Rattus norvegicus: one gene and its partner. The protein of the gene in region 2 interacts with the protein of the main gene of each other region in a biochemical or structural test. Links are inferred from orthologs where the notes say so. Each region holds a gene or a part of one and is shown on either strand. Other genes may lie near its edges.

Region 1 (4,502 bases), on a different chromosome or scaffold from region 2:
ACATTGGGATATCCAGGGGAGCTAGAGAGAGGGTTCTGGGAAAATTCAGTCAAGATACAGTGTTTACATGCATGGAAATGCTAAAGAATAAATAAAAGACAAGTCTGTTGGGGAGGAAAGCTGTTAACTTTCCAGGTTCCTGCTGATGAGAAAGTAAATTCTCAGGTTCTACTGCACATTGATTTTTGCATAATCCCCTGAGATATGACCTAGCAAAGCACTTTACACTTTCTACATTACTCTGATGTATTCAAGTTTTTAAAAGTATTGCCTTTTAAGTCTGTAATGTAAAAAACACATATCTTTTTCTTTCTTTTTTTTTTTTTTTTTTTTTTACTAGAAAAAGTTTCAAGCTAACAGTATTACACAGAAGGAAATCCATTATCACTCCAACCTGAATAGAGGCCAGGTACCTGCACAGAGTCTATAATGTAGAACACAACCTCTGGGAGGCTGGCCTTTCTTAAAGGCCTGAGACAATCTCACTACTCTTGGAGGAAGTTTATCATCACCCCAAAACCCAAATAAAGGCCATCTGTGCAGGCTATGTAGAACCTCTGGGAAGCTTATTTTTTTATTTTTATTGTTTTACATTTTCGTGTGAGGGGGAGAACGTGTGCAAACTCAAAGAACAACTTGTGGGGGTCTTTTCATTCCTTCCAGCGTGTGCACCTCCAGGGATCAAACTCAGGTTAGTGAGTGCAAGCACCTTTACCTGATCCAACACTTGCCTTCCTTGATGACACAGAGGAATCCCCAAACCCTGGAGAAGGTGGGTTTGTTGTTACTGTTTAACCTAACGTCTTGGATCCTTGCCTTCTTAAAGGCAGAGGCCCACCATTTGGGTGAGCTTTGAAACTACAATGTAATAGTATAACTGACGTAAATCTCAGGACACAAACCTTTGTTCATCTCTTTTCTGACTGCACACCTAGAGCGATCATAGGGGCATGCTGCTGACCACGTTTCCCCACAGTAGAGAAGCCTTCTGTTCATTCCTCAAGTTAGCAGAGAAGAAACACACACACACACCACTACCAAAAGCCAGCTTCATAATTAAGTAACTGCCTGACTTCTCGGCTTTCACCGGCCAGAAAATGTGAAGTGGAATATTAGCAAGTTGGAACCGGAGCCTCGACCCACAGCTGCACACCACTGCGCATGTGCAGCCGCTTCGGAAAGCATTAATGCTTAGCTTGGCTACTGGGTTTCTAGCTATCTGAAAACCCAAAGTGGAGTTTCTGGTTATCTGGAAGGGAGCCGAGGCCCGGCGGTCGCACATTACAGCGCGCGCGCGCACTCGCCCCTCCCACCCGGAACCGGAAGTGGGAGCGATCGCGGCCTGGGGCCTGGCCTGGCCGGGGCGTCGGCAGCGGCGGCCATCTTGGCTACCCGCGGAAAGGCAGTGTGAGGGGAAGAAGTTGTAGGGTGGGGGCGGGAGTGAGGAGGAGGAGGAGGGCCGAGAGCGGAGGGGTGGAGGAGGAGGCCGCGGCGGGGCAGGGCGGGGACAGCCTGCCGGCCGGCCAGCCTGCTGGGCTTGCGGAAGTACTAGCCTACTGCTCACTCGCTACTGCTCGGGCTTCCCACAGCTCCCTCCCTTCCTCCCTCAGGACCGAGGGCGGCCCAGGCCAGTGCATGGTCAGCTAGCTCACATCTCTATCCCCGGCCTCTTAGCAGCACGGAACGGACGGCAGCGGCGGGCGAGGAGGAAGATGGCGGGACGGCTGCCGGCCTGTGTGGTGGACTGTGGCACGGGGTACGGCGGGTCTTCTGGGTGGGGAAACTGAGTCTGGGGACAGCCGGAGGAGGGAGATGAATGGGGTGAGCCGGCCAGACTGGCGACGGGTGGTGCCGGGAGCCTCCCTGGTTCGGTCGCTTCAGCCTTCTGGGACGAAGATCTTTTCAGGCCCTTCCCTTCTGGGAAGGCCGTCTGGCCCACCTGGCTTTCCTTTCCCATCTCTCCTCTTCCTGCCTGTGAACTAGGGGACTCTCAGGGAATCTCCAGGCGTAGGACCAAGGGAAAAAAGAGAAGCGCTCCTTGCGGGTTTTGCAAGATCGCGGTGACAACCCTCAATCTCTAGGGCGTGTGGGTGGGGAGAGCGGAGAACCGGGCTGTGAAAATGGGAAGCTAGAATGGGGGCTTTTGCAGAGGACCCACGCGCCGCCTCTTTTCCGCCCACACCCATTCTTAGCCATCTCCCACTACCCATTGAACCAAGTCAGTTCCAGCGAGGAGGATCTCATGGGGTTATTGCTCTTGCCTCAAAAAAAGTCCCTTAGTGAGCAAGCGCGCTGCAACTTCCTTAGTTTTGTCAAAGCCGCTTCCTGCTTTCCGTCTTTTATAGCCTTATAAGGTAGTTTTTCGTCTCCAACGTTAACACGTCTTATTAGAACTTTCAAAATTAAGCAGGTTGCATAAAGAGTAGATTATGAGTGCTAGGTATCAGTGTGTTTGAACTAAAAAAAATGTTCTTGTGTCCATGGAGGGAGATAATGGGGAGGAGAAGGGACGCACCCTGGAACCTAAACATTCAGTTTGGTTTGTGACTGTGTCTTGAAAGCTGAAAGGAGATAGAAAGGAATGTGTTTGATTAAAGCAATTGTTTCTGATAGTAGTGTGGTTGGCTAAAGTGACTTTTAAAGTTGTAGGTTTGTATTAATGAACCTAGTCAAGAGTTAGAACTTGCTCTGTGTGGTGACCTAGAGAGACGACTACATTTTTTACGCTGTACGTTGCAATACTTGGTGGAGGAAGAGGCCTGTCTGATCTCGAATCCCCCAAACACATAAGTGGTTTTGAGGACAGTTGCCAACCTTTTTCCTCTTATTCACCCTACCACAGTTATTTAAAGGATGCCTCTTCCACGACATTAGTTAGTTTGTATAAATCCCTCCCATCTTAACTCTCTGCCTTTACATGTAATTGTTAGGCAGCCGGAAACAACAAAACACTTAATTTTTTATTTCTTGGAAAACACTAGTTTAGCCTTGGAATTTCTATGTATTTTCTTAGTTGACATCGTATTAAAGTTAGATTTTTTCAATCCGGTCTCACCCTCTTGAAGTGTTTATATATGTATATTTAAGTTTATCTTTTCGTAGTTTAATTGATGAGTACTTGGATGTTAGAGGGATTTTAAAAATTAGAATTGGCTAGCGTGAATAGGATTTTTCAAGTGTATTTTATTGAAGTGACAGATAGTGCTATGTAGTGCTTCATGCTTTAGAAATCACTGTCAGTAAAGCCACATAGTCATTGATCACTGTATAAATAATGCCGTAGCAGCTTAAGGAGGATGCGTCTTTAATCTTTTTATGTATTTATTTTCCTCTTTTGAAATGCAGTTTTGGTTATTTTTGAATAAGTAGTAATTGGTATCTCATTGAACTTAGCTGTCCTTAAGTGACCTTTTTTTCTGAAAGGGCAACCTTGAATTAAAAACACATTTGGAGTGACCAGGAGAAGTGATACAACTTATACCTAGGCTATTTCTGTCTAATATCTCAATTACTAAACCATTACATTGCTATATTGTATATTGATCTCACCTTACAAAGAGAGGTTAGCTGTATATTCATTTATGATATGGGTGAAACTGATTAAAGTCACTTTCTCTATTCAGTGTTTTTACCTTTGCTCACAGTCTGAATTTCCCAATTTGTAGTTTTCTTTATTTTGCTTCTGAAGGTTTTGGGTGTGTCATCCTCTCCCCTGCCAATCCCACCAGTTGGCTCTACTAGACAGCAGTTTAGAGACTCTCACCTTGAGCTTTATTAGAAAAGTCCTTTCTCAGCGCCCAAGATAAATAGCATGTCCAAAAATGACTAGCAGGGAGTTTTACATCTGAAATAACTGTTTCCCAAATGCAAAATGTACCCCTTTAATTTGTACACCCTCCTCCCCCAGTCAATGCACTCACCTCTTAGGTCTCCACAATTACTCTTCTAGAGTAAGTGGACCATTTATAGGTTGTCCATCCCATTTCATTAAAGAATTTAGGCAAAAAGTGGTAGTGTGTTAAACTTGATGGCAGGCTTACAAGCTGTAAATGTTAGGACACATGAGATTTAATTCTAGAACTTTAAATTAAGAATCCTACAGCATAATTCATCATCACCACCTAGGTTGAGGTCATGAAGTATTTTTCAAATACTTAAGGAATTAAGAAAGAAATACTTCCTTCATATCTGTATCACCAGGTCAACATACCTTTTTGGTCCCTATTGGCCAAGTATTGTAGAATAAAGTTCTTGTTCAGAGACAAAGATGTAGGGCTTGGAAATGTAGCTAGGAAAAGTGCCTCATTCTCATGCACAAGGCCTGCTTCAGACCCCAGTCAAACAGGCTGGAGAGCCATCTCCAACGAGAAAAGCAAGTTTTAAAGCTTCAAAAGGATGTAATGCTCCTGTAATAAAGTTATCCTAAGATAGTTTCAGTCTGCCTGTTTCACTCATTTTTCTATTAGGGCTTTTCTTTGCTCGATGTGTTTTGTTTTTACTCA
Region 2 (2,803 bases):
CACCTGAGGATGTGAGCTAAAGGATCCCAGGAAGAAGAAGTTGAGAAGCAACTTCCTCAGCTGGACTTGACTCAGCTGGAATGTAGGCCTCTGAGCAGGCCTGTTATGTTAACTGATGTGGGAACCATCTTAGCTATGGGCAGGACTGACTATGGACATGACATGGCCAGCTGCTTCTGTGCTGTGTACCTTCTCCACCATGATGGACCATATGTAGCTAAGTAAACCCTTGTTCCCTACAGCTGTTTAATAAGGGTGCCTTGTCACAGCGACAAAACCTAAGATGTGCAGCAAGTTTTACCAACTGAGCCATCTCCCTGCTCAGATCCTAGGGTACACTTCAGCCGAAAGCACCCATCAGGGAGCAAGGCCCTTAGGGGCTGCGGCTGCTCAGCTACCCTAGTGAAGGACAGTGCAGCCTTGATAACGGGCATCTGAGTGAGGCCCCCCTGGAAATTCAGCCCCAGTGCCACCTTCAAATCAAAACATGGAGACTAACCACTGCAGAGGACCACACAGCAAATGGATCAAAAAAAGTTTATTCTGAATATTTAATTTAAAAAAATCCATACCTATAAGGTGTGCTACAGAATTCCAGATGATAATTCATATAGAAAACCCAACCTAACAACGGAAAGGCAAGGATTCTACAGGAAAGCTCATGGGGAGAAAACGGGCATCGGTCCTCATGTGTCCCAGAGGTGGGGACGCATCTACAAGGACATGCTGTGCTGCTCGCTTGACTGTGTATAACCAGTGTGGCCCAGCCTCCTGGTGTCTCAGACACTTTGAAAGCATCTTAGGGACAGTTGATCAAGGATGCTGGGGAGGCACCCAGGTGGATCAGTTCACTCAGTCCTGTGTTCAGCCACATTAATCTATCAACTGACTATAATTGAACATATTTGGCAAAAAGAACACAGCTCCCCACAGGGAGCATGTTTCTGGAGGCTTGCAGGGAGAAGGTATCTGTCTGCCCAGCCAGGTGGCTGGCCACACAGCTCACTCTGGCTGAGCAGGAGTCATGAGCAAGTCCAAGACTCCCTCCCCAAGTCTCCCATGTCGCAGGCCAAGCTCAGGATAAGTGGCCAGCACATCTCTGAGATGCATTGTGTGCTACAGACCTCGAATACAGACGGGAGAAAGTAACACTTCAGGGCAAGGCAGCAGGAGAAAGGGGTCAACCAGGACTGGGGTGTCAGGTTGAATTGAGATGAGGAGGTGGAGTAAAGGAAGCCCAGATCCTGGCTCAAATGGTCAGGACTGAAAGATACGACTTCCCTCGAAGGGTCAACGCTCCGGGACCTCGATTTCCTTTGGACGCCCTTCCTCTTCTTCCAAACACTGGATCCCAGAGAGCCTCCTCCCTGAGTGGCCACTCCAGGAGCACTGTCTCCATCCTGGGAACCCGACTGCCATGGAAGGGAAGTGGGCACAAGGCCACATGTACCACCAACCTCAGGAGAAGTGCATGCCCTGAAGTGGCTACGTACCACAGTCGGCTTGGCAAAGCTAAAACACCTGGATGGCTGAAAGTAATCACCCATGTTCTCTGTGAACATGATCATCAGACATTAGCAAATTCTGTGGCAGGACATGCCCCGAAGCATCAGCAGACGTATTAAATATAAAGGCAATATGTATATTCCCCTCCCCACCTTCGGAAAAAGAACAAAAACAGAAATGGAAGCAGAAACCAATTCAACACACGCAGACGCGATGTAGTGTGAACCCAGTGCTGGTGCTGGTAGGCTCTGGGTGGCCACCCTACTGCCGCAGCTCCACATAGTTGGCCGGGAAGAGCCCATATCTGCCCTTGCACACCCCACGCCACCAGCCATCGTCAATCATTTCTATGTTGGTGATGACATCATCAGGGTCAAAGGAGATTTCATCATCGCCAGCTAGGGAGGGAGAGAAGAAAGAGACTCAGATGGGATCGTCACCTGACCAGGTGGAAGATATCAAGACACCCACCCGGCAGGGGAGAGGGCCTTCACTGTTAAGACACATGACAAGGAGGGCAATGGAGAGGGCTGCTAAGGTTATACATGAATATCTAGACTCTAGAGAGACCTGAGGTGATGGCCAAAAAGTCACAGAACCCATGTGCGTACCAGGAAATACATGCCAGGTCTCTGTTCAGGAAGAGAAGGGGCTAGCGAGCCTCTCTCTCTCAGCCTAGGGGGCCTGAGGATTTGAGGGAGCCACAGCCATGCATCCTATAAAACACTGCTCAAGTAATAACTAAGCCAGGAGAAATGGATGTGCTGACGTGACAGAGAGGGGCCACGCTGGCTCTTGTGTGGAATCCTGTCCCCAGCCTGCACTGTGGGTCTGTGACTAAGGGGGCTCTGCAGCTTTAGATCCCCAAGGATTCAGATGAGAGACAAGGGGTGGGCACAGACATGGGCATCCCTGCACCATCCCAGGCAACACCTGTCAATTTACTTCAAGATACAGTGTGGAAACTATACCCAGGCACAGTAAAGTCCACCTAAGGTGTCAGCCACTGGGAAATTGAGACACGATTGCTTAAGCCCGGAGTTCCAGGTCAGACTGGGTAACAGGCCCTGGTTCAAGTCCAAGCATAAGACAGCCTCATCTTCCTTCCCAGAACTGTCTCAGGAGGGGAATAGCTAGGAACTTCATCCTGGGTAGGAACATCTGTGCCCGCAGGCCACAGTCAGTGTCTTACCAGCCTGGTAGTCATACAGGGCGATGGCTGTGATGCCCAGGTCACTCTCATACCCATCGTAGGTGTCATCCTCTGTAAGAAAGCAGAACCGCTGAGCAAACATAC

Evidence for each region.
Region 1: the proteins of Cttn (region 2) and Actr3 form a complex in vitro, tested with the Homo sapiens proteins (3 studies listed by BioGRID). The link is inferred for Rattus norvegicus from reciprocal best matches to the Homo sapiens genes CTTN and ACTR3.

Annotation. Positions count from the first base shown.
Region 1 is NC_086031.1:39,393,635-39,398,136, reverse strand, and holds the start of Actr3 (actin-related protein 3), read left to right. Parts: upstream 1-1,627; 5' UTR 1,628-1,712; coding exon 1,713-1,756; intron 1,757-4,502. UniProt on the Homo sapiens protein: ATP-binding component of the Arp2/3 complex, a multiprotein complex that mediates actin polymerization upon stimulation by nucleation-promoting factor (NPF).
Region 2 is NC_086019.1:209,028,525-209,031,327, forward strand, and holds the end of Cttn (src substrate cortactin), read right to left. Parts: intron 2,771-2,803; coding exon 2,699-2,770; intron 1,905-2,698; coding exon 1,768-1,904; 3' UTR 524-1,767; downstream 1-523.